Linked DNA regions of Notamacropus eugenii. The protein of the gene in region 2 purifies or fractionates together with the protein of the main gene of each other region. This does not show direct contact. Links are inferred from orthologs where the notes say so. Each region holds a gene or a part of one and is shown on either strand. Other genes may lie near its edges.

What was found.
Region 1: the proteins of LCK (region 2) and SH2D2A purify together in Homo sapiens (co-immunoprecipitation; 3 studies listed by IntAct, with this or other methods). This does not show direct contact. The link is inferred for Notamacropus eugenii from reciprocal best matches to the Homo sapiens genes LCK and SH2D2A.

The regions. Positions count from the first base shown.
Region 1 is NC_092873.1:381,047,271-381,062,956, reverse strand, and holds the start of SH2D2A (SH2 domain-containing protein 2A), read left to right. Parts: upstream 1-8,966; 5' UTR 8,967-9,031; coding exon 9,032-9,065; intron 9,066-10,367; coding exon 10,368-10,504; intron 10,505-11,414; coding exon 11,415-11,599; intron 11,600-12,345; coding exon 12,346-12,435; intron 12,436-12,769; coding exon 12,770-12,938; intron 12,939-15,686. UniProt on the Homo sapiens protein: Could be a T-cell-specific adapter protein involved in the control of T-cell activation. May play a role in the CD4-p56-LCK-dependent signal transduction pathway. Could also play an important role in normal and pathological angiogenesis.
Region 2 is NC_092876.1:77,608,932-77,624,251, forward strand, and holds the start of LCK (tyrosine-protein kinase Lck), read right to left. Parts: upstream 6,924-15,320; 5' UTR 6,769-6,923; intron 1-6,768. Other genes in the region: protein FAM167B, read right to left, coding at 9,674-9,949, 10,828-11,076; myotubularin-related protein 9-like, read left to right, coding at 13,051-13,232, 13,952-14,060, 14,229-14,354, 14,504-14,677, 15,017-15,237. UniProt on the Homo sapiens protein: Non-receptor tyrosine-protein kinase that plays an essential role in the selection and maturation of developing T-cells in the thymus and in the function of mature T-cells. Plays a key role in T-cell antigen receptor (TCR)-linked signal transduction pathways.

The DNA.
Region 1 (15,686 bases), on a different chromosome or scaffold from region 2:
GGGTGACATGATCTCATTTGATCATAGAGTGTTAGGATTGGAAAGGACCCTAGAAACCATCTAGTCTGATCTCATTTTATTAATAATAGCTCATATATATTATTTGTAGTAATAGTGGGTTCATAATGCTGCCAGGACACCTGGATTCTCAAGTATGAAAGTCAGGGAATCAGAAGCTCAGGGCTTGGAACAAAAGGGGAGAACTCGGGATCACTGCTATTCTCTCTCTGAGTCCTTCCTTTCCAGTCCTTCTTTCTCTCCCCAGCTCTATAAAATCACGCGTGGCCCTCCTACTCAGAGGAATTCCTTTCTCTCCCTGGGCTTTAGTCCCCTCATTAGTAAAATGAAGATGTTGGACTAGATCTCTGAGAGCCTAAGTTCAAATTTCACCTCTGGCACTTAACTGGTCTTGGGACTATGGACAAGTTATCCAATTTCCCTACATCTAGGGCAACTCTCTAAAAATTATAGATGAATTTCAACCTATGTTGTGTAGAGAGAATACCACCCCCACCCCCCACCCCACCCCATCCCCCCCTACCCACCCACTGGAAATCACAGATCTTTAATCTCATAGTAATGAGCCTTTTTCAGTTTTGGAGAAAGTGCTTTGTCAGCCTTAAGGTACCACAGAAATAGGAATTATTATTCATCAAAAGCATGAAATGCTCTCCCCCATCTCTTCCTCTGGGCTTCCGTGGTTTCCTTCAAGAGATCCAGGTAAAACCTCATCTTGTACAGAAAGCCCCTCCAAATCCTCTTATTTTGAGAGCCTTCCCTCTTTTGATTATTTCCTATTTACCCTGTCCATAGCTTGTTCAATATAGTTATTTGCTTGTCATCTCCTCCATTAGATTATGAGCTTCTTGTGGACGTTTTTCCTTTTTTTTTTTTTGTGGTAACTCTAGTGCTTAGCACAATGCCTGACCCATAGCAGGTGTTTAATAAATGTTTACTGACTCACTGAAATGATGAGGTTAAAACAGATGCCCTCTCAGTCTCTTCCAGTCCCAATATCTATGATTCTGTGTGGTTGCATGTAGAAAGCATATGTATATGTGTAGAAGAGAGCAAATGTAGGACAATATGTTCTTGTAGCTTGTGAATAGAAAAAAAATCTATGCCAGCATTTGCCAAGTCTGTTTGGACAAAGAAGACATTGACACTTCATGTACATTGCTATTTTCCATAAATGGAGGTACCCTTTGGAATCTCACTGCTTATTGAGGAGGGGCACAGTTATGTGTGATAAGTATTGGGGGTGTGTAATGGCTAGAATCAGGAAGACCTGGGCTCACATTCTGCTTCTGGCATATATTCGCTCTGTGACCATGGTCACCTCCCCAATCTCTGTACCTTAGTCTACCCAGTCTAAAGACCATGCACAGAGAATTGCCAATGTGCATCACTGGAGAGAATTTCTAAGTAAATAACTGGAATAAATAAAATCATTAACTTTTTTTTAAAAGCGCACGCACACACACACAGAGTAATATTCAGGACTCTTTCCAAATGAGCATAGCTCTCTGCCCCAAAGCTTTGTGGGGGATGTAGTCCAGAAATCTATGCTCCCCAGGGGCCCCTTATAAATGATTTTATATTCAATTTTGCTGAGTCTTGGAGGTCAGCTAGTCCAACCCATGCCTGCAAGAATGCCCCCTCAGCATCCTAGACAAGTGATCTTCCAGTCTTTTCTTGAAGAGGAAAATAAAGCTAGCAGTAAAATATTCTTGCAGTGTATGAATTCTCATGGAATGATACAATCTCATTTTAGGGAACACATTTTGGGAAATGAAGATCCCAGAGGACAGTGTATTCAAGGCTGCCTTTGCATCCCCATGTGCTCATGTATAGGTCTGCATGCAGAGAGGAATAATACATAAGACAGCATAACGTAAGATCTCTTTGTACTTATCTCCCTCTTCATCCTCCCAAGAAGTGACAGCAAGACATATATGGCCAATGTGGGCATTTGTTTTGCTTAACTATGAATATTTTAGGGTGGGAAATTATTTTTATTTTTTTCAACTAACATGCATTTAAAATTAACTCTCTATTCCACTGTTCCTTTCCACCCATTGAGGACATTTTAAAATACATAATAAAGTTCTCAGTATGTAGTTGCATAGTCTGGCAAAACATATTCCCACATTAGAAATGTCCAAAAATGTGTGCTTCATCATCAGCTCCCCATATTACCACATCAGTGATGAGTGGCATATTTCATCCTCCTTCTTTTGAACTCATGACTTATTGCATTGGGTCAGAGTTTTAGAGTCTTTCAAAGCTGTTTTTCTCTAGAATGTTGTTACAATTCTATAAGTTGTTCTAGTTCATTCTTCACTCTGAATCATTTCATAGAGGTTTGCCCAAGTTCCTCTGAAATTATCGGTTTCATTATTTTTTTATGGCACAATAATATTCCATTATGTCCATATACTACAATTTGTTTAGTCATTCCTCAATAAGAGAACACTCCCTTAGTTTCCACTTTCTGGCTACCACTAAAAGATAAATATAGACAAATAGACAGACAGACAGACAGACAGACAGATAGATAGATCCTTTTCCTCTTTCTTTGCTTTTTTTGGATTACAGACCCACTAGTGATATTACACCTATTCATATCTAATACTAGGGCTTGGTTTTTTTTTCCTTTGGGCAGGGAGGATGGTGGTGAGGATGAGGGGAAGGGGGAAAAGTAGATTTTTGTTCATTGAAAAAATTAGATTTAATTTTTTTTATTTCACCCTCCTAATTCTTTGTGGTTGAAGTAGGAGTTTCCCTTGTCCCTAATGTTATTGACTACTAACTTCAACACATGAAGGAAGAAAGAGAATATATAGGGAAGAAAAGAGAGGAGGAGGGGTGGAGGAAGAGCAGAGAGGGGGACAAGATTCTCTTTCTAGTCAGGTCTCTATCATAAGCTTACTTTCAAAGGTCTCAATGGGGAATTTGTGTGTTCGTCCTTCATTGCCGAAGAAGACTATGCCATCAGAGATATGAAGACATGACTTGCACTTAACTTTGTTTTGAGTGAGGGAGGGCTGTGCAGGTCACCAGCCTCACTTCTCTGAATCCAGTGACCAGATATTCATCAGGATGACTGGAGATGACTGAGGATAAGACAATTGAGGTTAAGCGACTTGCCCAAGGTCACACAGCTAGTGAGTATCAAGTGTCTGAGGTGAGATTTGAACTCAGGTCCTCCTGACTCCTGCACTGGTGCTCTATCTACTGCACCACCTAGCTATCCATGGGGAATTTAGTCACAGAAGGAAAAGGTAAATGGAAATTATAGTCTTTCAGGATTGGAAAGGTCCCTAGAGACCAACCACCCCATTTGGGTTAAATTACTTAGTCAAAATCACAATGCTAGCAACTGGGGGTGCCATGACTTAAACTCACATCCCTTGATCCCCACCTCATCGTCATACAGATTCAGAGGGTTCCTGTGTTGTTTAGGGTCTGAGAGACTGCAAAAGTTGTTTCCACAGTGAGTTGTTAATTGAAGTCATTGAGAACGTTAGATAATAAGAAGGCCAGCAAACTGCAGGTGGACTCAACCAATCAAAAGACAGACAGTGGACTTCAGAAAATTACAAAGTTTTTGATAAAGGAAACAAATCTACAGCTAGCTGGCACTAGTCAAGAAAAATTATCTAGAGTTACCTGGAGAAGGCTTTTCTTCACTGTGCTTGCTTAATGAACTTCATGCATATAAGCAGACACACCCTGCATAAAACTGTCCTTCCATTTTCTGATCATGGGTCCTATGTTACAGCATGTTTGGCAGGGGGAATCATACTAAGGGGAATTACATAATGGGCATGTAGAGAAGATGGTGACCTAATGGAGGATGGACCAATCCATCTCCTGGTGGGAGGCTCTGTTTTGGAGTAACAGTATATAGCTCTTCTGGCTTCTGTATCCAGTACTCCCTCCACCTGAAAAGAGGGTAGGGGCACGCTTTGGCCAAAGTTCAATTCCTCTGAATTCTGCTGCAATAAATTTTCCTTGATTCCTTATTGAAATCAAGCATGTTTCTAACAAGAGTTAGCCTAGAGAATGGTAGGAAGAGATGTCTCTTTCAGGAAAGGGCTTCAGGTCCTTTGAGGAAAAGGGGAACTTTCAAGCCTCCTCTCTGAATGTCTCACCTTCTCACTATGAAAACTACAAAGTGAGGGAGGAAAATCAAAATGATATGCAAGATTTGGGATGAGGAAGGAGAATGTCACTAAGGGAAGGACAATAGGAGAAAAAGATCTTTGTCTCTTCATCTATAAAGGGACTAGATGAGCTCTTAAGTTTCTTTCTCGCTCTAAAAACCTATGAGTAAGGCTTCTTCACGATGCAGTGAGTTTCAAGCAAAAGGCTGAACTTTAAAGCACTTGAAAAGGCATGTAGTAGAGGTAGTCAGGTGGTATGCCAGAAATGCTTAATTTAATGACTTCTATTTGTGTTTTTTTAATGAGGGGTAAACAGCAGACTCTTGGTTTACTCTGACTAGCAAAACTATAGCCAGAATCATCTGATGACCCAGAAGCTTCCAGTCTCTCTAATTTACAAAATTGCTTCCAAGGCTGGAAGCAGCCATCTCAAGGTTGCTACTCAGTTACCTGTACTCAGGAAAGAAACAAAACTGAAGATGAAGGATCAGACTCACCTAGTCATGATAAGTGCCCTCTGCCATGTGTTTGCAAGAAACCATGGATGGGAGGAGGGTGGCTTCTCCCTTGCCACTCCAGGGAGAGATTCCTTTCTGACAATCAGCAGAAGGAAGGGAGAGAGTGGAGTTACTCCCTTCAAGATCTATTGAGGAGGCCAATCTTAGTGGCTTACTGGCTGGTGCTCTGACACAATTCAGATAATCTTCCATGCTTTCATATGCATGGGATCAAGGGACCACCCAGGATTTTCTGTGTCATTCCAAAGTGATAAGCACTTCAGTTCTGAGCCACATATTTCCCTGCTGAAGTGGCCACAGTACAGGTGCAGTACTCCATAAAGTGTACGTTAGCCAGAGCAAATCAAAGTGCCCAGTTGCTTACCCTCAATTACACTTGCTTCTCTCTTTTCACTGAATAGGAATGCCCATTACTGATGGTTCATGTATCAAATCTTGATTGAAGTACCAGAGAATATACTTGAATGGAAGTTTAAATACCTGCTGATACAAAGCCTCAAACAGGGAAACAGCAGGAAAGGGATGTCCCCGAGTCATGTGGTAGCCTGCTCATAAACATTGTCTCCAGCCCAGCCAGACAGCTCTGCTCAGGTTATTCAAGTTTCCCTCTCCTACCCCATTCCCCTAGCTCTAGTTCTTAACAAAGACCTTGGAGCCTTGCCTTAGATCCACCTCTGATAGGTCTCTCTCTACCTGATGATCTCATGTATTCCATTGTATCTTCAAGCTTTTCATTTCCAGTTTGTGACTTCAGATCCTGGGGTCCTATGAACCCCTGACTGTTCCCTCTGAATGCCATTTTCTTCCAGAAATTTCCATCCATTTCATCCCCTCTGGTTCCTTCTCCCATCCCTCCCACAAGCAAAGCTATTTGGTTTCTACTCCTCCTTTGTGGAGGCAATCAAATTGTGCAGTGAATAGTGCTGGACTTGAAGTAAGACCCAAGTTCAAATTTGACTTCAAACACCTGCTGTGTGACCCTGGACAAGTCTCTTAACTTCTACCAGTCAGCCTTAATTTCCTCATCTCTAAAATGGGGAATAATAATAAAAACCACTTCACAGGGCTATTGAGAAGATCAAATGAGATAACATATGTAAACATTTGCAAACCTTAAAACACCATATAAATGCTAGCCATTATAATTATGGAGGTGAGGGATGGCAGCAGGGTAGGGAACATGGTCCCTCTTCTACCTGATGCTCAAGCTTCTTTCTCTTATGTCTCACTCCCCACCCAACCTCCAAGTGGAAAAAGAAGGAGCCTACTCTGAGGATCTCACGTTTATTTTACATTGTAGGATTTAGAAAGCACTCTCCTCGTGTAACTCATGCCAGAATGCCCCATGGAATGGTCCTTTATTTGTCTTGGACTATCATTTGTTTCAGGGCTGTAGTAATGAAGGTTTGGGGACACATAAAGGAGAAGAGTGCAACATTTCTGGTGATTACCACATTTTCTTTATTCCTCCTTTCATAGGAGACTGCTAGCTTGTTCTTCCCAGGAGCCAGAAAATTTATGATCATGACAAGCAGAAGGTCATGCAAGAGGACAGGGAAGTGATAAAACCAATATGTTGCAAACTGAATGCCCTCTCTTCCTTCCCTTTCCCTATCCTAGCCCTGTTTGTCCTGAAGATTTGGGGAAGAGGAGTTTCCTTCTTGCCATTCTTGGGAAATGGAGGTATGTGACTGCTGCCAGGCTGGCTGGCACCAATTGACTTTGGGGAATCCAGACTGTTGGACCAGGGCAGGTGCTGAGGCTGTAGCCCAAAAGAGACTTCCATTCTACTTGTTCTTCTTGAGTGCCAGAGGGAAAAAGCCTGACTAGCTGCTGAGAATCCAACAGAGAGTGGAGATGCAAGCTTCCAGATGAGAATGAGGAAGAGGACCTTCTAGATTCTAAATTCCAGAGTGCCAGGGAAAGCCAGCTATTACAGAGCATGGAAGAGTGACCAGCAAGGATCAGGGAGATTAAACTTCCTAGATTGTACCACCTTTGACTTTCTATTTAAACACACAGCTCCTTCCCCTCGAAAGCATGGAAGGACCATTGGGAAAAGGTTTCAGTTTGGGAGGTGGTTGGGCAAAGCTTTCCATGAGAGAGGAATTCTGGACAGTTTCTATGCAGTCTTACTTAATGTTTAACAAACCACGTGGCTGCATTAAGTTGTCTTGCTTAAGCTGTAAGAGTGCAGTGGCTAGTCAACCAAGAACAGAATATTTCCCAGATACATGGTGAGGGTGCAGCAAGATATATACATTTCCATATTTTAACAATCTTGAGCCATATTTCATTAATATTATGCCCAGGTTACTTTGAATTGTGACCATTTAGGAATTTCTTCTTGTCCAGTTATTTGAAATAGTACGGATAACTGGGGGTAGTGCATACGCAGACTTTGGGCTCTTTAAAGACACAGACTCTTTAGTATAGCGCCACCTGCTGATTGGAAATTGTAAGGTATACTCCATTAGTAAACGATAGTGACCCATACCCAGCCTTTCTGTAGACATTTCGTTGTCGTTTTTTGTCCTTCGTTCTTGAGGAGTCTTAATTTGTGTGTGAATTAGATTTAAGTGAGGCAGACCTGCACAAAGTCATCGGCCTCATTCTCTCCTCGAGTCATCAAAGTCCAGTGGCAAGACAAAAGTCATGACAGGATGCAGTGGGTGACCACATGCAGTGTACCACAGCTGTGGACCTCCCACCAATGTAAAGGAACGGAGTGGGGCTGTCTTCTCATATCTCTTCTTTGGGGCTATAGTCATTAATGCTGTAATTCCCCAACATTTACTTTTGTTTTATGTATTTGTTCTTTATTGGGTCTATAGTTTCCTTGAATTTACTCTTTATTTGATCATGTAAATCTTTCCATCATTTCTGTATTCATTATATTCATTGTTATAGAACAGTAATATTCCATTACATTCGTGTGTCACTATTTGTTTAGGCATTCACTTTGTTTCCAGTTCTTTATCATTTCTATAGTCTTTCTGGTCTCCCAATTGTTTGTTTCTCCTTCAATTTTAAATATCTCCTCTTTTATGCTTATCTTAGTTTTGCTTATTATTTGTTGGCTTTCTAATTTTTAGAAAATACCCATTTAGTTCCTTAATCCTCTCCTTTTCTATTTTTTAATGTATGTTTCTATAGCAAGAGAGACACTCTATTAGTAAATGGTAAAGTGATAGACACTCTTTCTTTCTGTAAGCCTGATAAAGGCAGGACATGAGTCAGGTATGAATTCCCACTACTGCTGCAGTCCCTCAAGTCTCACTTGAGACCCCTCCCAAGGACATAGACCATGTCATTGTCACATAGTAGTCCTCCAGAGCAGGAGCATAGTTATTATTGACTTAGAAATGGAAGGTAACTTTCTGAATGCGCATATAGTCCACACTTCTCTTTTTACAAATGAAAAACTTCAAGCCAGAGAGCTAAGTGACTTACTCATATGGATGTCATGTAGCATAGCCAAGTTTTCTTACTTAAAATGATGTTCTTCCTACAACACCAGACCTCATTTATTATGAGGAAACAGGCTCAGAAGTCAAGGGGAAAGCTCCAGTTGACACACCTAGTAAATTTAGGGGGGTTGAACCCAGGTTTTCTGACTTCTGGTCCAAGGAGGTAAGAGTTTAGAGGAGAATTAGATCAGAACAGACTTTACCATCTTGATCCAACATCTGGCTTCCAGTACCTGGAGTCAGTATTCCAGTATTCCAGTCCCCCAGGGCCCCATGCATTCACCCCTGGTTTCGCCACTGTCTAAAGCCTATCCTACACCTTCCTGCTACACCATTGCCTCTCCTCCTTTTCCACATATCCTTAATGGGTCTGGAATGATCCTGAGTGTTGACCCCCAAAGATCCCTTCCAAGGATTTGAAAGCACTTTACAGACCTGATCTCATCGATCTTAGTCATATCCTGTCCTGAGTGAACAATAGGATTGAGAAGACAATAGGGGAACAAACCTTCGATGAGGTGGTAAGAGTAAAGAAGAAAAGAGAGCCTTCCACATTGTGAGGGATGGTGGTCTGACAATAGGGAGGATTTCTCAAGAACTAAAAGAGAAACATTCCCTGCCCCACCCCTCTCCTCCCACGCTTCTACCCCTCACCAACACACACACACACACACACACACACACACACACACACACACTTCCGGGGAGGAACATTGCTTTCCATGACGTGGGTCCCAGGGCCTGGGCTGTGGGTGAGGTACCATTTCCTGCCCCTGGGAGGGGGGTAGGGGAAGCAGAGGAGCTGAGAAGCACACACAGCCATACACCTGTTCTGGGTGGGGGGGAGGGGGCTCAGTCTCACAAAACCCCTTTCATGGAGATGCCCATAGATCAGATGCCTCCTCAAGGTAAGTGCCAGGTTTTTCCCTGCCTATCACCCTTCCTCTTTCCTCTTCATCCTCTGACTTCATCTACAACAGCCCGGTGACCTCTCTGGATGGCGGGTTAAAGGGTCCCCTTTCTCTGAACAGGAATCAGAAAGGAAATTGTGTGGGCTGGGTGGCAGAATATGTTCCCTTAGGAGTCCTCTTTCTCTCTTTCTGGTCTTCCATTGTTCTTTCCATTTCTATTCTTCAACAGAGGAATAATTAGATTTCTAAAGTCCTTTGAAATCTTTAGAGTAGAGAAGAGAGATTTGGTAGGAAACATAAAGACTCCTGGGAAATCAGGATTTAGAGTTGGAAAGAATGTTAGGGGTCAATTAGTATAAACCTTAAAATGAGGACTATATATTGGGAAGCCAAGGATATGCTAGTAGATATTTAATAATCAACTTTCGGGGGGAGACGCGCATAGGGTGGGGGAAAGAAATGTAGGAAAGATACACTTTTAAGTTTAATCTGCCTTATTGTCATCTTTTTCCATTACTTAAGCCTAGATAATCAACAAAGCATCAAACCCTAATTTGTAGCACTTGCAGATTTCCTGTGTGTAAATGCTCGAACTTAAAATTTAACAATCAGTGTTTGGAGAGCCCTTGTGAGCTGGTTCCAGCAGACCCTGGAAGTCACTTCCCTGTGGTCACACAGATTAAGTACGGAGCTGGGTTATAAATCATAAGCAGGGAATTGGACAAAAGGTTGAGGATAGAGGACAGAGACAAAGTGTTCTGAAATTGTCAGACATGTAAGAATGATCCATAAGAAGTGGATTAGAACTCAGGTGTCCTGCTTCTCAGAGAGTTGAATCCCAGAACCCTCAAGTTGACAGAATCCATTACAGAAAAGTCATGATGCTTTTCCCACTGTATTTCACCAAACCAGACTAAAAGGATACCTGTATTCCAGCTTATCCCTGCCTTTTCTCCTCAAACTCTCCTAATCATTCAGAACTCTTCCTTGCTGCTTAATCATCCCTCTTCAAACATCAACTCCCTCTCATACTATACCTTCTGTACCTTATCCCTCATTTTCTCATTCCCCTGGGAAGTACTTCCTGCTAGCATCATTTCTTCCCCTGCTCCCCATCAATATCCTCCATCATTCTTTTTGCAATATCAGTCTATTTCTGTTCTCAAAGAAATGCTGTGGCCTCTCTCCATCCCTGGGTGATTTGAGGAGAGGGGCTAGAGGCAATAGGAAAGTAAAATAGGATTACTGTTACATCCTATCCCCTTGGAAGAGAGCCCACAGCTCTGTTTGTACATGTAGGGGAATGGAAAGAACCTGCCCCAACTTTCAGTACTTTCCACCCAAAACATCCAACCCGGAAGAGCAGAAGAAGCATGGTACTGCCTACACTGCCTCAGGCATCGGAAGATGAGAGTGTCCCACCCAATCACACCAAGGTGAGTGGAGAGAGAAAAACTAGGAACCTCTGAGTCTGCATCCTTCACCTCACACACACACATACACCCAACCCTGTGGATACCAGGCCTATAAAGGAGCTTTATTTAATGAGACTTCCTAGAGGAAATGGATTTAAGAGGGTGAAAAGGAAAGCAGGAAAAGTGGGCACCTGAACTGATACTAAGAGAGCCAAAGAAGCAAGTCAGTTAGCCCCTTTCATCATCACTGTCCCTCTGTAACTCTTAATTATAGTTTCACAGGATTCAGAGTTGGAAAGGACCTTAGAGATCATCTGGTGTGATGTCTTCAGCTTACTGAGGCAGAGACTGAGTTCAGAGAGATTTTCATTGACCCAAGATCATGAAGGTAGTGAAAGAGACAAGATCCAGACCCAGGTCTTCCTGCTGTAATTCTGTGGTCTTTCTTCAACACCATACCATCTGGACTGAGCTTCCTACCCAGCTCCCATAATCCTTCCCTAGTCCAGTCTGATCCGCCATGATTTTTATGATGCTTCCAGAGATGATTCTCTTTCCTGCCATCTAACCTCAATCCCTTCCACTATATTAGTAGAACCTTTCTTTCTCTGACCTTTGGGGAAATGGAAACCCGTAGCATCCCCTTACTTGTCATCTCCTTTATTCCCTTGGTATATGGGTTAACCCAACTCTAAAAAGTCTTCTCGTTCTCTAACCTCCACCCTCGCCAAGACTGCAGAGCCATGTAGCTCAGAGGAAGATGGAAGGTGAAGCTGATCAGTTTCTAGGAAAGCTATATCAGAAGTGATTTCAATTTAGAAAGTGGTTAGCAGGGGAAAGTGTAACATAGGACCAGAATGTGCTCTACAGATGGGATACAAGCCCCTCTGGCTGTAGCATTTGCTCACAATCCAAATTTTCTTCCATCCAGGTTTCTCTCCAAGGCCAGGGGACTATCCCTATTCCAGGCAACACAAGGAAAGCTGAGGAAGTACCTGGGCTAGGGGGACCATCCCTTCAGGCTGAGACCAGGGCCTGGTTTCAGAAGACCCAGGCACCCTGGTTCTTTCATGATGGGGAAGCCCCAGTCTGGTTCCATGGTTTTATCACTCGTCGGTGAGGAGGATCAGATGGATAAAATTCAGTCTAGATCTCAGTTTCCCTTTTCTCAGCCATCCCCCTGTCCTCAAGATTTCACACTGTGTAACCATTTTCTCTCTGGGTCTCCATCCCTTTGCCAATGTACCTGTGTCATCCTCTATGTCCATTTCTTTAGTTTATTTCTGTATCTTTCCTTGTCTTTAATTCTCTGTTATATCTTTGTCACTCTTTTCTACATCTTATCTGTATTTCCCTCTTTCTCTTTTTCTACTTTTTTCTCTCTGAGTACATCCCTCCAATGTGACAGACCTAATTTGCTTTTTAGCCAAACCACCCTCTAAAATCCCAGCCCTCAATCCCCTTCCTGTCTCTCTTAGCTGTTTCGAGGAAGAAAAGTTCAGTTCTTTCTTCCCTAGTATGTCCTCCTCCCCATACACTAGCCCAAATAATTACCCCTTTACCTTGGGAAGGACCCACCATCCTGACCCCTCCAGGAACTTAGCAAGCGAGTCATTTATTCATTTTTTCCACTCATTCAACTAACGCCCCCTTTCTTCCTACTCCCCGGGGTTTCCTGCCATTTCAGCATCTTGCTAAGGAGGGGAACTGCATCCTGCCTCCTACCTCCTGCACCACCAATTGGAGGATGGTGTAGAGAGGAGAAGGAGACCATAAATCTAGTGGGACCACCACCGTGGGGGTAGGTGGGGGGGTCCAGGCATTCGAGAACCCGACCGTGTTTCCTTCCTTCAAACTCTCAGGGAGGCCGAGAGATTGCTGGAAAACAAACCCCCAGGCTGCTACTTGGTGCGGTTTAGCGAGAGCGCAGTGGCCTTTGTGCTGACTTACAGGTGAGGCTCAGGGTTTTGTTTTGGGTTTTTTGCAGATGAGCGAAGAGATCTAGGTTTCGTGTGAATGGGTGGGTTCATGCAGATTGTCCAGTGAGGGTGGGGCTTCATGCTGATTGACAGATGAATGAGTTGCTCTGGGGACAAGGGGAAAACAATTTCCTTGAGGCAGTAAGTCTGGAAAAAGGCGAAATGATGAAGGAAGAAGGAGAAAGGAGGAGAACAGAGAGAGGGCAGAGTGAAGCGGGAGGCCGGCAGGGAGCTGGGCTGGGCTGAAGGCTGAAGTGGTGGGGTGGCGGGACCTGACCCCATGTCTCTGCCCGGCTCTCTCCCGCAGGAGCCGCAGCTGCTACCGCCATTTCCTGCTGGCCCAACTGGAAGATGGGCGCCATGTGGTTCTAGGCGAGGACAGTGCCCACGAGCGGCTCCCAGACCTGCTGCGACACTATACTCAGCGTCCGCTCAGCCCCTACGGCGAGCACCTCACACAGCCCTGTATCCGCCAGGTACCTTCCCAACCCAGGCCAGACTGGGGATCGGCACCCGGCACCCGGCACCTGGGCTTTCTTAAGCAGAAAGGTTCACCTTTGGGGTGCCTCACTAGACTTTGAGACCCAACACACAGGCAGCAGATGATATAGAAGATGGAAACCCGAGCCCGGAGTTAGGAAAACCTGAGTTCTAATGTGACCTCAGCACTTGTTAGCTGCGTGACCCTGGGCAAGTCACTCAGGTAAAATGGGAATAAGAAGAGCCCCTTTCTTTCCAGGATGTTGTGAGGATCAAAAGATATCATTTGTAAAAAGCATTTAGCCTCATTCCTGGAACATGGTAGGGGCTATATAAATGCTTAGTTCTTCCTAATAATAAGAGAAGATCTTATTGTAGATCTTTATATCTACATGTAGATTTTTATGGTTTGCAAAGCACTTTACATATATCGAGTTTCATCTTCATAAAAACTTCAGGAGGTAGACACCATTTTTATCTTCATTATGGGAGCAGCTAGGTGGTGCAGTGGATAGAGCACCAGTGCAGAAGTCAGGACGACCTGAGTTCAAATTTCACCTCAGACACTTGACACTCATGTGACCTTGGGCAAGTCACTTAACCCCAATCTCCAGTCAATCCTGATGAATATCCGGTCACTGGATTCAGATGGCTCTGGAGGAGAAGTGAGGCTGGTGACCTGCACAGCCTTCCCTCACTCAAAACAAAGTCAAGTGCAAGTCACGTCATCATTTCTCTGATGGCATGGTCTTCTTTGACAAGGAAGAATGAACATATGTCTTCATTATGAGATGAGGAATCTGAAGAAGGTTAAGTAGCGTGGCAGATATCCCACAGCTAGTGAGTATTTGAGGCTGAATTTGAACTTGGCCTTTCCTAGCTCTAAGTCTACCCTCTTTACCAGTTAGCTGTTTTTAGAATATTTGAGCTGGTAGGGACTTCAAGAACAGCTCAGGCCACACCAGTCCTCTGCTCAACAGCTGTATTGTCTGGGTTATTAAACTGCTCAAATTTCAGGAAAGCATGGAGAGGCACAATCTATTATAGCACAGTTGAGGGGATTTGGAATTGGTTGGATGACCCAACAAAGGAGACATTACTGGGGTTACAGGAGGCAATTTGACGACCCAGTGGGTTGTGCTGGCTTGGAGTTAAGAGATTTGGGCAGGAAATGATGGGACAAGACTGCAGTCTTCAAGTATCTGAAGAGCTGTCTTAACAAAGAGTGAGGAGGCTTGTTCTGCTTGGTCCCAGAGCGCAGAGCCTGGAATAATGGGTGGAAATTGCTGAGGCAGATTTAAATTTGATGCAAGGAAAACTTCCTAACCATTAGAGGTGTTCAAAAATGGAATGGGCTGCCTCAGGACATCATCAATTTTCCATCACTGAATATCTTCTTCTAGAAGCTGGATGACCACTTGTCAGGGAGGCTGTAGAAGAGACCCTGGGTGACCTCTGAAGTCCCTCCCAAGCCTGGAGAGATTTCATGACTCTTTTATCCAGTCCCCTCATTTAATGGACCAAGAAACTGAGGCCCAGAGAGAGATGATGGGGCTCATTCAAGATCACACAACAAGTTTAGTGGGCACAGCTCGGACTAGAGCCACAGTCTGAATCCAGTGCTGTTACTGCATAGTTGTCTGTACTCTGGGAGCAGACTGTAATAATAATTGATAATAACAATGCCTAGCATTTATATAGTACTATAAGATTTGCAAAGCTCTTTACAGGTATTCTTTCATTTTTTATCCTCACAGCAGCCCTGGGAGGTGCTATTATTATCTACATTTTTATAGATGAGGAGACTGAGGCAGAGAGGCAAAGTGACTTACCTAGGGTTACACATCTAGGTCACTGAATTTCACATGGTCTGAGGTAGAGACACTGGAGAGCAGAGTTGAGGTCCTGGGGGAACAGAACTGGAGATATTTCTTCTAGTTTGGGCTAAGGAGTTTCGGATTCATTCTGACCAAAAGTGAAGGTGAAAGAATAGAGGCCATTGTTTTGGATAGTTCTCCCTGGTTACTGGGGCTGAGTCTCCTTGTTAGGATATCAAAACCAGATAGCAATAAAAATTTATTTTAAAAGAGAGCGAAATTGAAGAGGGAAAAAGAGGGAAGGATGAAGAAAGATCCAGAGAGAGAGACTGGAGAGACAGAAAGATGAGACTAGAGAGACACACGGAGAGAAAGAGACAGAGAGAGCAAAAAGATGAAAGAGAGCCAGAGAGGAGAAAGAGAGACTGCAGAGAGTATTGAGAAGCAAGGAGCTGAAGCTGCTTGAATCACTAGAAAGGAATTGTGAGAGAAGACTTGCTTATCATCCTCACAAACATGAAAGGACTCATGGAAAAAGATTCTAGATAGTTCTTTGGCTTTTCAGAGGACGGAGCAATAGGAGTGAGCTGCTGTACACAGGGAAACGTCTTGCTGTCAGTCATTTAAAAAAAAACAGAATTAGGTGGCCATGAGAAGATGTTGGAGTGTCTATATCTGGAGAGCTTCCAAAGGAGAGTAAATATTCATCTGCTCTGGGTGGTGGAGTGGGAGGCTGCGGAGGCTTTGTTCTAGTAAGGATCACCACTCCACTGGGGGGAAGAATCAATCAAAGATGATACAAGTTAAAAGCAATTTGACTTCGGGTGTTTTTTAAGAGGAAAATAAGATGTTTCATTTGTCTTTCTTTTCAGCTAAGGGAAAGGAACATAGAATTTATTCTGTTCTACAAATATGATAACTATTAAA
Region 2 (15,320 bases):
CTGCACAGCCCTCCCTCACTCAAAACAAAGTCAAGTGCAAGTCATGCCATTATTTCTCTGATGGCATGGTCTTCTTCAGCAACGAAGGACGAACACACACAATATGGAAATATGTTTTGCATGATTGCACATATATAACGTATATCAAATTTCTTGCCATCTCAAGGAAGGAGGAGGTGAAGGAGGGAGAGATAATTTCAAATTCAATTTAAAAAATTTTTTTCCCTACTTAATAGTATTTTATTTTTTTCCAATTACATATAAAGATAGCTTTCAACATTCACTTTTACAAGATTTTGAGTTCCAAAATTTTTTCTCCCTCCCTCTCTCCCCTTCCCTTTCCTCAAGATAGGAAGCAATCTGATATAGGCTATACATGTACAGTCATATTAAACATGCTTCCACATTAGTCATGTTGTAAAAGAAGAATCAGAATAAAAGGGAAAAACCACGACAATGAAAAAAGAGAGAGAAAATCATATGCTTCGATCTGCATTCAGACTCCATAGTTCTTTCTCTAGATGTAGATGAAACTCAAATTATTTTTAAATGAATATTAAAAATTGTCTTTACAGGTAATTAGGAAAAAAATGAAATATTATCAAAACAAATATCTCATTTGAACCTCACAACAATGTAGGAGGTAGGTGTTGTTACCCTCCATTTTATAACTGGGGAAACTGGGGCTGAGAGAAGTTAAGTGACTTGCCTAAGGCCATATAGCTAGTAAATGTTTGAGGGTGGATTTGAACTCAGGTCTTCCTGGCTCCAGGTCCAGTACTCTATACACTACTCTACTTAAGCCATCTAATAAAACCTGAGCTTGTATCTGCAACCCACTAAAATGCCAGGGGAAGGAAAGGGAGACTGAGCCAACAACAGGAGGGGCTGGAGTCTGGCCTTTGCAAAGATCTGGAGAAAGGGTTGGATTGAGTTGGAGGAGTTCAGGCTGCTGCAAGATTAAAGAGGAACCAAAAAGCTTTAAGTCCTGGATCTGGGTTGAGGTTGTCTAAGAACATGGGAATCCTAGGATATGGGAGCAAAATCCAGGGAGCAAATATCTAGGGCTCCACCCTAAGACTAGGTATAAAAGATAGAGCCTGGAACAATGGGGAACATTTATACCTAAAGTTTGTTATTCAGTTCGTGAACCCATTTGGGTCAATTCTGGACAAAGATACTGGAGTGGGTTGTCATTTCCTTCTCCAGCTTATTTTACAGATGAGGAAATTGAGGCAAACAGGGTGATTTACCCAGGGTCACAGAGCAATTAAATATCCAAGGCCAAATTTGAACTCAGGTCTTCCTAACTTCAGGCTCAGCTTTTTATCCTTACAACTGTGCTACCTATCTGCCCCTTTGCACCTGAAAAGCCCCATATTTATGTTCAGTCATGACAAGCTGAATTTTTTAAAAAACTAAACTGAACACCTATAGTTTATGTCCTTGACAGCCACTCAGATTTCATGTAAATTGCTGGAATTTCATAAAAATTCTTTTAAGCACCCTGAGGTTTCTAATGCTTCTGACCTGACCTGCTACTAAGGACCTGAGTGAGTGGAGGAAACTAGGTTCAAGCTCTGATCACAAGGTGGATCCTTGCATGGTGGTGGGACAGAGCTATCTGGGGAAACATCTCAGCAACTGACTAAAAGTTAAGGGCCGTTCTGGAACCATGACCTTGGTGGAACATAGGAAATCACTCATGCCCAAAGCTGACTTGCCTCCGTGTGATGTGTTATGCTGTATGTGAGCATACCCATGTTGCTGCATAATTGTACAATGGAGATAGTGTATATATGTGCTTAGGAGAGAGGTAGACACAGCCCTCAGTCCCAGATCTGCAGCTGACTTGCTTTGGGATCTTAAGTGACTCACCTTTGAGCCTGAATTTCCTTATCTGTGAGATGGTGAAAATATTTGTACTAAGTGCCTCACAGGATGTAGTGAGGATCAAAGTCAATCCATTCCTCAATCAACATTTATTAAGCGCCTACTACATGCCAGGAACTGTACTAAGCACTGAGGATACAGAAGAAGGCAAAAGACAGGAGGAGCTCACAGTCTGAGTGAGAAGGATGAACAACAAGGTGAAAGGTTTTAAAGTTTTGTTGGAGCGTTAGACCTCGCTGTTATTGCCATATGATTCATGATGCATGTACACATGTGGCTGTGGGCATGTATAGGGACATTTGTATGAGTAGTTGGGTGACATCTTTGTGCATGCGGGGGAGGAGGGGAGTGGTGATGCAGATGAGAGCGTATTTCTATGTATAATGTCACACGGCATATTTGACTTCATGCATATCTTTATGTGCATCTGTGTATGCGCAAACATGTTAAGTCTGTGTCTACCTACATATGGGTAGAACTCTGTTAGTGGGGATGAATGTGTAATGTGTTTATTTTCTTAGAATCTTCAAGTTGGGAAAGACCCCAGGACTGTCTAGTTCAACCGATGTCAGAATAGAAATTCCTTGAGTCTATGTAATGTGGTTCCAATTCTATGTGTCTCTGTAGTAGTTTGCATGTATGATGTAGCACATGTGTGCTACATTGTGTAGCACATGTGTGCACATTGTGTAGCACACAATGCTACATGTCTGTGTTTGTATGTGTGTGAGAACCATACATGGAGTCTATGACTACATATAGATGTATGAGTATGTGTAACTAGAGGTATCTGGATTGTGCATGGTTGTTACACATGGGTAATTACGTGTTACGCATATAGCAATTACATATTTGTAAGTCCATGTGCCTGTGCTTGGGAAGGAGAGTGTGTGACTCTGAGGTGTGTGCTCCTTTGTAAAAAGAATGCCCTTAGGTGAGAGCTGCTGGCACTTCGAACCCTTTGCCTTCAGCTGCTTTCATCTTGGAGGGTTCCCAGTCTGATGTTGAGTGTTCTCAGAGAATATACACAGGAAGCAGCTTCAGGTGCAAAGCAAGGCCTCTAGTAGCAGCACATGTGAAGGGGGAGGGAGAAGAGAAGCCCTGCTCTTAGTGGGGGTGGAGATGGGGGGCAGAGTCTTCCCTCTGCATCAGGGTCCTACTCCTGTTCCATCTACCTTCTCTGAGAGCCGTGTTTCATGCTGCTCTAACACCCAGAGACCTGGTTCTCCCACCTTTCCAGGGGACTCAGGCCCAAGGAAGGTACCACCAACCCTAAGGAATGTAGCTGGGATGGTGGACTTCAGTCAGGTAGGGAGGAAAGTCTGTGACCCTGTCCTGCCCTGTCCTGCCCTGTCTTGCCTGAGGTCCCAACAGAACCAAGTTCCACTGCCCCCCAACTTAGTCTCTTCAATACACTGAGGATGACAGTTGGAAGGCTCTTCTCCCCAATCCCTACCCCTATCACTAAAGACTCACCTTGCCCCCTGCCCCATCTGATAGGATTCATAGTACATAGAATGTCAGAACCTAGAACAGAGAAAGCAAAATCTGGAAAGTCCTTAGTACACCCAGACTCCAGGCATTTCTCTGGCTGTCTCCTCATCTCCACCTCCTGGCTTCCTTCAAGTAGTAGATGACATCCTACCTTCTGCAGGAAGCTTTTCCTAATCCTTCTTAATGCCAGGGCTTTCTCTCTGCTAATTATCTCCTCTGTATCCTATATGTAGCCTGTTCGTACAGAGTTATTTGCATCTTGTCTCCCAGAATAAACTATGACTCTCTGAAAGCAGGAATTTTGTTTTTCCTTTCTTTGTTCTTTCTTTGTTTGTTGTTGTTTTGAAAGGCAATCAGGGTTAAGTGACTTGCTCAGGGTCATGCTACTAGTAAGTGTCTGAGGCCAGATGTGAAATCAGGTCCTTCTGACTCCAGGGCCAGCACTCTGATCACTTGGCTGACCCTCTGCTTTCCTTTGTAGCCCCAGCACTTAGCACAGTGCCTGGCACATGGTAGGTACTTAGTAAATGTTTGTTGACTGACTTACTGATGGCTGAGAGGGGCTTTAGAATCCACTGTCTCAGAGACAGAAGAAATCTTAGAACATAGAATATTACAGGACCATCAACTACTAGACTTAGAGTGAGGAGGGAAATTAACGGTGCCCTTGTCCAACTTCCTTATTTTACAGATAAGGAAAATGAGCCCTTAAAAAGGGGAGGGTTTTGCCTAAAGATTCCCAGAAACTAAAGACAGCTGAGCTTGGATTGGGTGCCAGGCCCTGTTCCTCCAAGTCTGCTGCTCTCCCCATCATGGATCCCCAGAGAGGCCCATGTCAAACACACATGAACAGATACATTACTTCAAAAAATTCCGTACAAGGTCATTTTTGCCCCTATCCCCAACTTGGGAGAGGAATACTATTGGCGATAGTAATGGCACCATTAAACTACTGTCCCTTCCATATTTCTGTGGTTTATGAGGCATCATCTCTGTGACTGCTTTCTTATGCCAGCACTCTCATCTCCATTTTATCAGTGAAGAAATTCAGCCTGGCTCCCAGAGGAGCGATGTTTGGATGACTACTAAAGGTCTGAAGCAGAACTCAGACCCAGGTTTCCAGGTCCCCAAGTTATATTATATCTCTGTGGAAATTGTGTTTTGAAGAAAACTCCAGTGGGGGTGGAGAGTAGGCAGGGAGCGCCCCAAGGCAGGTGGCACTTCAGAAGAATGGGTAAGAGAGGGGGCTTCCCCCTGCACCCCAAATTGTTGCCCTCTATCCCCTGAAGTTTCATCTTGCTTCTTCAAGACTTGGAAGGTGTTTGGTTTTTTTCCATCACAACAGCCTTAGGAAAGGGTGGGGGAATTGTTCAAAGATGATCAGAGTAGTCACAGAGGTGAGGCTTAGGAACACAGATCACAGATTAGTTTTTAGTACTGGAAAGAACCCTGAGGTCATTGGGTCTAACCTCCCTCATTTTACAAAAAAGGAAACTGAGCTCCAGAGATGAGGAGTGATTCATCCGAGGCAGTTAGTGGCACATTGGGAATTTGAACTCAGGTCCTCTGACTCCAGATTCATACTCTTTCCTCTATACCACAGACTTGAACCCACGTCTCCTGACCTGTCCAGAGTTCTCTCTTGGTTTGACTTAGGAGACAGATGATGATCATGGGTGTGGGGCCAATGTTCAACTGGTCTAGACAGCAAGCCTCTCTGAAGTTAGGCCTCACCCAGGGGAGAGAGATGATGAAACTCTCAGTAAGGTAGCAGGCTGTGGCTTCTGCTAAGACTGTCCTTGGTGGGGTAAAAAGGTTGAGGAAGGAGGAAGGTTTCGAAAGGCCACTAAGAGAAGGTGATAGAAAATCAAAAGGATTGCACACAGCTTGTAAGGCCCAGATGAGATCAGATAACTTTAAATCTCTGAGGCCCTAGGAGGTTTGGTCCCAAGACTTCCTTAGCCAGCATCCAGTGGAGAAGGAAACTTTCCATAGGAACTCCAGGGTCAAGCTCCCACTGCCAATCATGCCCCTCATCCTTTCCCCACACCAATTTAAAATAGCTTTTCTTCCTTCCTTTCCTCCCTTCCTTTGCCTGGCCCTTTGGGGCCGTCTTTTCATGAAGAATCTCAATCCCACGTCAGAAATCTTCCTTGACATGAGCATCCAGGAAGCTCGGATAAACCTTTCCCTCTCACAGAGAACTCTGGCAGCAAAAGTCACTGGAGTGCCTGGTTCTCTTTCCTACAGAATTCTGACCCCATCAAGTCCTTAAGCTTCCTGATGGAATTTTCCTCCATTCATCCAAATGACCCAAGAAAATAAAGCTCTGGTTTCCTCTTGCCTCCGGGATGATGAATCGAGAACTAAGAGAGCTTAGGGGCCTTCTGACACAAATCCCTCATTTTACAACTAAGGAAACTGGAGCCCAGAAGAGTTAAGAGACAAGGAAATGAATGTCAGAGGCAAAACTTGAATCCAACTTATCTAAATCCTCTCTCCCTTTACCACATTGGGAGAAGTGCATTGGACAAAATGAGGAGGCCTGGGTTGTAACCTCATCTTTGCCACTAATTAGCCATGTGGCAACTCCTTGCTCTTTTCTGGGTCTTAGATTCTACCAAATGAGAATCAGTCTGAACTAGACTAGACGGTCACCAAGTTCTAGGAGCCTACAAATATTCATTAATAAGGCACTTGGGGAATTCCCAAAGGACTCTTCGCATCTAGTCTCACCCGATCCAGACAAGGGGTCATTTTAGGTTCCACCTTATTATCTACTCCCCTCCCAAGACACTAGATACAATAAGAACCTTTCTGGTTCTCTTCCCTCCAGCAGTTGGCTCCTGGTCACTCTTGTGACAACGTCCCTGTTTGGTTTGAACCCAGCTCCTCTGTCTCCAAATCCATCTCCCCTGCTACCCAGTCAATATTCAGGGACTTCCCCAAACCATTCTTTGAGGAGGTAACCTTTGCCCCCAGGGCATCTATGTATGGAGCTGGCATCAGGATGTCCAAGGGTTGCATCACAGTGACTGTGTGACTATTGTTGGAGTGCCCATGGGGTGGTATCAAGGTCAGGGGGGTCCTCAGAGACAAGTTGGGAATCTGTGGGATTAGGGTAGAGTCACTGTGGGGCCTGTCCATAGGGCCAATGCCCGTGTGCCCCATGGCAAAGTGATACTGTGACACCCACAGAGCTTGTCAGGGTGCCCATCAATTAATGTCACAGGTCTTATTAAACTAGCTTTCCTCAATGACCAGATAGACAGAAGTCTGAAATTCTCTTAAGACCTTCTCTGGTCTTTCTTGCCCTCACCTTAGGGGCTGCTGACCTTTCCCTTTGGAAGCTCCCGTAAGCCCCGTGCACTCTTTCCTTACCTGCCTGATATGTTCACTGAGCCTGGTTCACATGGTCCTTCTTGTTCAGAGGCCCCATCACCACCCAGAGGATGGATGAGGCTCCCAGCTCCTTGTCGCTGCCTCAATTTGCCTTCTCAGCACCCAGCCCACGTCCAACCCCAACTTCCTGCCTCCTCTTGAGAGAATGAGTGAGAAAGAAGGCGGCAGCCAACCCCAGAACCCCAGTCAGGCCCTCCCTCAACCACAAGCCAAGAACAACAGTGCCAACCACACCCCTCCCAACATCCAGGGGCCTGATAGTAGGGAGCTGTGGTCACAGAGGGTCCCAGGGAATTCCTAGTATCCGTGGGTGGGGAAAGAGGGGGACACACCATAGAGAGCATTTGATGGTGAAGTAGAAATTGCCCTGGATTCGGAGTCAGAGGACCCAGAATACCTCCCTATCTCTATTACTTGTTAGCTGTGTGACTTTGGGTAAGTCTTGTCCCCTCTCTGGGGCTGTCTTCTATAAAATAAGCTGATTGGATTAGATCAGGGCTTCTTAGCATTTTTTGTGTCATGGACCTCTTTGGAAGACTGATAAAACCTATGGAAATTCTCAGAATTTGCATTTTTAATCATCATTGAAGGAAATGATAAATTCCACTTAGAGGGTAGTAAAAAATAAAGATGGTTCTTTCCCATCCAAGTTCATGTACCCCTTCTTCCCTCCCCCTGGGAAATGTGGTCATGTATCCATCCCATGGTAGTCTGGTGACCACAGGCTAAGATGATTCCTAAGGATCTTTTCAGAATGAAAAGTCTGGGGTTCTGTGAAGAAGACGCCATGGGAGCCCATGGGCTGAAGAGGTGGGGGGTGAGGGAGGACTCACAAAGGGGAGTAATCTCCCCCTCCATCCCCACCCCCTCCTCCACATAGACCAATTTGCCATTGGCTTGATGTGTGATCTTGTCTCAGAGTTTCCTTTTCCATTTTTGCAAGATAAAGGAAATAGAAATCAGAAATTTAGAGACGAAAGATGACATGGGTCATCTAATTCAAACCATTTGTTTTAAAAAGATGAGGAAACGGTCAACAAGTCAGTCAATAAAGATTTATTAAGCACCTACCACGTGCCAGATAGTATGCTAAACCTTGCGGATATAAAAAGAAACAAAAGACAGCACCGCCTCCAGGGAATTTACAATCTAACAGAGCCAGAGGAATTGTCTCAGATTGTCCAAGTAGTCAGTGGCAGAGCGAGGATTTGAACCCAGGTCCTCTGATTCCAAAATCCACATATTTTCCACTGTCTCACCCTACTTCCTTCAGACTAGATGGTCCCTAAGGACCTTTCAACATTTTATTTTGGTGACACCAAGTGGACCCTAGCAATGCTGTGGGAAAGATGTCCATCTAGGTTCACTGCCAACAGAAGATGGGTATCCAAACTCATACACCAGCTCCTTAAGGGGCAGAGATGGACAGTCTGATGACTGTGCCCCAGCTAGACCCAGTGAACCCTGCCATGGTTGAACCAAACTAGAGTGACCCATTCCTGCGACACAAACAGCTCCCACCCCTTCACCTTGAGCCAAGCTGTGAGGAAAGGGGAGGGGGATGGGGACAGCAGAAGAGGATGCCGCAGACGTATTGTTGGGGTTTGAAAGGTGGAAATTGATGCTGGTTCTGCTCACCTCAACTGAGGCGGGTGAGGAGGGCAGGAAATGGGGGAGGGAAAGGAAGCCAAAGACAGAAAGTAAGACAAAGAGATGTGAACAGCAGAAACAAAAGTTACAGAGGGACAGAGAGAGAGAGAGAGAGAGAGAGAGAGAGAAAGAGAGAGAGAGGGAGGGAGGGAGGGAGGGAGAGAGGGAGAGAGGGAAAGAGAGAGGGAGAGGGAGAGGGAGAGGGAGAGGGAGAAAGAGAGGGAGGGAGAGAGAGGGAGAGAGAGAGAGGGAGGGAGGGAGAGAGAGGGGGAAAGAGAGAGAGAGAGGGAGGGAGGGAGGGAGAGAGAGAGAAGGAGGGAGGGAGGGAGAGAGGAAAGGAGGGAGAGAGAGAAGGGAAGGGAAGAAAGAGGAGAAAGAGAAGAGAGAGAAAAGAGAAAGAGGGGGGAAAGAAGAGGTTTAAGAGATAGAAGAGAGAGTGACAGAAAGGAGAGAGAGGAGGAAGAGGAGACAAAAAAGAGAGAGGAGAGAAGGAGAGAAGAGGGAGAGAGAGGGGGAGGGAGGAGAGAGACAGAGACAGAGACAGAAAGAGAGACAGAGATGGAAATACACTGAGAAACAGAGACCAAGAAACAGACAGCCACACACACACAGGAAAAAAAGCCAAAAACCAGATGACAGGAGAAAGAACAGACACAGAGCTAAATGAAAGAGAAGAGTTGAGGACTTCTGGGTCAGAGACATGTTTTCCTCCCTCAAAAACATGCACACCTGGTGTCCTCGATCTTTCCTGCAGTGACATGGAGCACTAGATCACACCAGGGAGTCTGTTTGCTGGAAAGCCTGAGAAAGTGTGAGTGTTCCTACTACAAGCCCTGAGAGCACTCCTTTATCTAGGTCAGGGATGGGGAACCTGAGGACTTGAGGTTACATGTGGCCCTCTAGGTCCTTAGGTGCGGCCCTTTGACTGAGTCCAAGTTTTACCAAACAAATCTTTTTATTAAGGGGATTTGTCCTGTGAAGTTTGGATTCAGTTAAAGGGCCACACCTAAGGACCTAGAGGCAGGTTCCCCACTCCTGATCTAGGTAGCTGGAGAGCTGACTCTGGGAAGGCTGAACAGCTCTCTCCCTCTCTATAGGCAGTGAGTTATGGTCCCTCTGTGCCCTGGGTGACTGCATCCCTCAGATCAGGGGTAGCAGAGCACCAAGGTTTAGGGTGGGACACCCCTGTGGGAGAGCAAAGGATGCTCAGCTGTGTGCAGCAGGGCCTGCCTGCTCAGCAGAGGGTGAACCGACGAGCACTGATGTTCATCCGGGTGAGGCCGATGTCCCTGAGTGGGGGCGCCAGGAGGCGAGTGGGCCGGAGAGAGCCTGGGCTCAGGAGCTCCGCTGCCTCTCCAAAGCCTAGACACTCAGCTTCTGCCTCCAGTTCAGCATCATCCAACAGCTCCTGGTGCTGCCTGCAGATCTGTTCCACCTTTAGCTGGTGCATTCGGGACCTGAGGCGCAACAGCTGCCCTGCCAGCTCCCGGTCCTGGGCTCGCATCTGCCTCTGGGGGGAAATGATTGAGGCTGGGGATTCAGGGCCCTGGCTTCCTGCCCTTTATTTTGGGCTGTGGGCAGAGGTGTCTCTATCCTGTGCCTAGGCAACTTGAAACGCCAACATTCTATGACCCTGATCCTCTCAGTCCAGCTCAGCCCTTCCTGGCTCCTCCTTCCTCTCAAGCCCAGCACTACCCTCTCCTCTCCTCTTCCTCCTCTTCCAGGAAAGATAATAATAACTCCTATCCTATGGCCTTGGAGGATTTATAAAGTACTTCCTCTCCACCGTCAGGGGAGGGGAGTGGTTGGGACTGGGACCCAAGTCTTCCAACTAACAGAGCTATTTCCCAGCCTCTTGAATAGACTCAGGGACTCATCTCTGTCTGTCAACAAAGATTTATCAAGCATCTACTATGTACAAGGAATCAGCCTAGGGGAAGGGGAGCCCCACTCTTTTATTGAATATTGCATGACTGAGGACAAGGCCTTCTCTCTCCTTACCTCCACTGCACCCCAGACTTCAGCCTCCCCTAAGTCCATAGGGAACTTTGGATCATAGACCAAGAGAGGGAAGAGATACTTAGAGATCATCCAGTCCCTCACTTGACAGGTAAGGAAACTGAGGCCCAGGGTGGTGAAATGATTTGCCCAAGGTTCCACAGTCAGGGGAAGAGATTTGAATGAGGTCTCTAGCTCAGAAGACAATATTTTTCACATACATTGCCCCATGCTACCTGTCCCAAAAGGGCGTCTGCCCCCAAATCCTGAAATTGTAAGGGCAAGGTTACATTCTCCTCCTCAGCTGGGGCTTCCCTTTGTGTGTCTCTCCCTTAGATGGGGGCTCCCTGACAGTGAACTACTCTTCTCTATCCCACACCGTAGACTTACCAGCTCCTCTCTTAGCCACTGCAAGGCGTCATCCAGAGTGTGAAAACCACAAATGGCTCCAGATTCTGGTTCCCGCAGTTCAGCCCTGGCCTGATCTCGGTGCCAGGCTTGGCTTTGGACCCTGGCTGTCCACTCGAGGTATGAGGGCCTTCTGGTCTGTAGATTTAATTTGGCAGTGAGTGCCTTCAAGTTGTCCAGGGTCTCCTCCTCCTCACCCAGGGCCCCAAATGCCAGGGACCCCAGAGACATGGTGATGGCTGTTCTGGTGGGACCAGAGAGGTGTGATGTGTTTGTCTGTCCCTCTTTTGAGGGGGACAGATGGTTAAGTATCCCAAAGTAGGAGGTAAGTGTGTAAGGTTGAGTGTGTGGCTTATTTCCCTGGAATCCTGTAATAATGGGAACTCACGTGACCCCCAGAGGAAAGGGATGGGGCGTTGGGGGAGGGGAAGCAGGATCTCAGTTTCTCTGGCCTCAGGGTCAAATTTAATTGTCTCTGCCCAAAAGGAGACACCCTTCTCTCTGAAAGGAAACTTCTACAGGGCCAGGGAGCCACTGGGGACATTGGCTTTGCCCTTTGGCATCTATCTACTTCTCTTCCCACCTCTCCCAACCAAATTGAGCGGGTGCCACTGAGGGAGACATCTCTAAAACTCAACTTGATGCTAGGGCAGAGTGTGGAGTCCCAAGCTAAATCAGGGGGCAGAATGAGGAGTCCCAGCCTGGAGGGTGGCAGAATGTTGGATCCCAATGAGGGAGTAGAGAGTGTGGGATACCTGGCTGGGGGTCACAGAGATAGTAGCCCAGATTTGATGGAGGTAGAATGTGAGTTCCTAGTCTAGAGAAGGACAGAAGGCTGTGAAGGCTATGGGGTCCAAGCTGGGAGGGAGGAAATAAATGTATGGGGTCCATCATGGAGGGAGGCAGTGGGAGATGCTAGCTGGGTTGGAATACTCAGAGTAGGTATCTAAGATGTAATTCTGGGAGGAGATAGGCATTGAACCTTGGCAAGCTCTTGGAGAGGTATCGAAATGGGCTCCCCTGTGGTACCCTAAGCACCAAGGACCAGGACCCTCAAGTGAAGAGCCAACTGCCTCCAGGGGGCGCTCCTGAACCGATGACCACCAGAGAAGCTGATGGATACAGTAGTCATTTAAGGTGGCCTTGAGGGCACCCAACAGAGAGGACTAAATTTAAGTCTTGGGAAGGACCTTAGAGACCAGCTTGAGGAGCAGAGAGAGGAGGGGACTTGCCTGAGAACCTAGGACCAGCTAGTGATAAAACAAACAAACTGGATGTGCCCACTGATTGGGGGATGATTGAACAAATTGTGGTATATGAATGTAACAGAACATCATCTCCCTGTAAGAAACAAGGAATAGGAAATAAAAGAAACATGAGAAGGCATGTATGAACGGATACAAAGGGAAGTTAAGTAAAGCTGGAGAAAGATCATATACACTGACTCTGAATGTAAAGGAAAAGACCCCTTAGAAAGGGTTATGTGAAGGAAAGGGGAAATACATTTCTCCCTCTCCTCCCTTTCCTTGGAAAGATGGGCAAAATAAACACTGTTTGTCACGGTAAAGAATATGATTTTGGCTTAACTGCATTTCTTCGTTATAAGGGAAGGTACACTGAGGGTGGAGGGAGAGGCATGTATCTGGAAATGATTGTGATGTAAGCACAAGAAATACCAAAAATGCATTAATTTAAAAATTAGTGGCAGGACTTCTGACCCAGGCTTCTGATTACAAGGCCAGAGGACTGATGTAACTAGGGAATGGAGGAGAATGAATTACAGTTCCCTGGCAGATTATTTCACAGAGCAAGGCCGAGGTGAGATCTCTGTTTGAGAGTGGATAGGATGGGTGCATTGGGTTCGAGAACATCTGAATTCCCAATGAGGCTCCAAGCTCGAATTGTCCTCGCCCTCCACCAAGAGGACAGTGGCGAACCTGAGCACCTCAAGCCCCCTAGATCTCAAAAAATCTTGAATCCTTCTCTCATGGGGCCACCTTAACCAGCCTCATCTTGCAAATTTCATCCGTTCTGGGGACAGTTCCTGTTCCCCCCCCATCCGTCCGGATCCTCTGGTTCCCGCCCCGGTCCTCCCACTGGGTGGAGAGGACTGCCTGTGCCCTGGGGCTATAAAGCCTTGGGGCTCCGCCCTTCTCTTTTGCGACCCCCTGCACCCACAGAACCCCCGAGCCCTGGGCTTCCAGGATGGAGTTCTCGGAGCTGATCCGTACTGGTCGGGCGGAGGCGCTCCTTCTGTCCAGTCCTGGGCAGACGCCGGTGCGGGGCACCCTGTGTATCACCAGCCACCACCTGCTGCTGTCTGCCGGGCACGGAAGCCCTAGCGACCTGTGGCTGCTGCTGCGCAACGTGGATGCTGTGGAAAAGCGGTGAGAGGGATTCGAGACCGTGCAGCTTCCTAGCTGGGCGCAGGGGAGAGGAGAGGGCTACCAGGATCAAGAGAGGGGGGTGCGGAGTGGAGGGGACGCGCGTGTGTGTCTGTGTGTCTGTGTGTGTATGTGTGTGTGTGTCTGTGTGTGTCTGTGTGTCTGTGTGTGTGTGCGCGCGCGCCTCCTGAGGGAGGAGAGGCTAGCCTCACTGAGGCGTATCCCCGGAAGATCGCGAACTGCTTAGCTGGGACTTACGTGGGCCCGACCAGCCGCTAGCCAGCCAGAGAGCCGACGTGTTCAATGTTGGCTGGGAAGGCACACATGGCTCGCCAGGTCTCAGTTCTCCATCCAAGGAGAGCTGAACTCTTGGCCATACTCTTATGCGTCTTTCCTCTCTTCCACTGATCTCTCATGTCTCCTTTTCCCCTTCTCCCCTCACTAACCCACCGATTCCTGTGTCCCTTCAATGAACCCTGCAGTGTCTCCTTCCTCAAAAGACCTCTAAGATCTCTTTCCCCACTGACTCCTGCGTACCCCTCCCTTACTGATTCCGCTTGTCCTACTTGTCCAGTGTTCAATACTGCCCTCCGTGTCTTGACACTCTTGCTCCCATACTAGCTCCCCCACCTCGTGATCCTCCATTGACCCCAGAGTCCTATACTAAGCCGTTCATAAGTGTTCATTTAGCCCACTGACTCCTGCCCCCCCCCCCTCCGCAGGGTGGCAGGAAACTCGGGCACCATCACCCTGAAATGTAAGGACCTGAACGTTCTGCAGCTGGAGATCGAAGGCTTGGAACAGACTCTGGACATCGCCGGCTCCATCGAGGTGAGGTAGCGCTTGCAGGAATTCGGGCAGCAAATCCATCCCGGGCACTGCCCAAGTGGAGGGAGGAGGGCTGAGAATGGCAAGAATGAGAACGTCAGCAAGGGCAAAAACAGGTTTTGCATGTCGAGCCTGGGATCCCCAGAAGTGCTTTTTGCCTTTCTCCTCAAGGCCTTATCCTCGCTGGAATCTGTCACCACTTCCTATCCATTCTTCTACAGGCCCCAGAGCCTGAGACTGGGAGACGCTGAATACCTGCACCCCCCGGACCACTTCTATCAGCAGGTGGCCCTGGAGGTAGGTGCCAGTGATGGAGGGTTTGAGGGCAGCTGCAGGAGGAACTCAGGGAAGCTGTGGGAAAGGGCTTGTACCCTTGGCTGTGGTGGGAGGGAGCCTTCTGGGGATGTGAGCCTGTAAGAGACTCCTCCCCCACCCCATTCCTCCAGACAAACGGCTGGCGCCTGAGCACAGTGAATAAGGACTTCTCCGTGTGTGCCAGCTACCCGCCAGTCTTGGTGGTGCCCCGCGAGATAGGGGACGAGGTCCTGGCACGAAGCGCCCGCTTCCGGCAAGGTGGCCGCTTCCCTGTGCTCTGCTACTATCACAGTAACAAGGGAACAGTGAGTGTGGAAATCGCTCCCGGACCCCCGCTCTGCTCCCAGCCCCAAACTCTGCTCATCACCCGGTCCTAACTAGCCCAACCTTGTCCCCACTCGGTTCCTCCCCGGGCTCCGCCCAGACACCCGACCCACGCCCCCAATCCCACGTGGAATCCCTGCTTCACCCACCCGCGCTGAGCCTAGGCTTCTCCCAGTCACACCTTCAGCCCCTCCAGGTCCCGAGATGGACTCCAACCCTGCCGTTGCCCTATCTGACCTCCACTCCGGGTAGACTGGGCAGCCTTACTCCTGGGCCCTAAGGGCACGCTCCCTAAACCGAGTCACTCATGCCACCCCAAGGTAATGCTCCGCTCCAGCCAGCCCCTGCAGGGGGCCAATCGGCGACGCTGTGCGGAGGACGAGGAGCTGCTGCAGGCGGCCCTGGCTCTGGGCGGAGGGCAGGGCTTAGTACTGGACACCCGCTCAGCCCAGGCGGTCAAACAGGCCCGAATAACCGGGGGCGGCACGGAGGCCAAGGCCGCCTACCCCGGCTGGAAGCGGCTGCACCGGCCCCTGGAGAGGTAAATAGCCAAGTCGGACCAGCTCCGTTCGACTTTAGGAGGTCTTCAACAGCTCGGGAAAGAAAGATGGGGAATGATGGGGC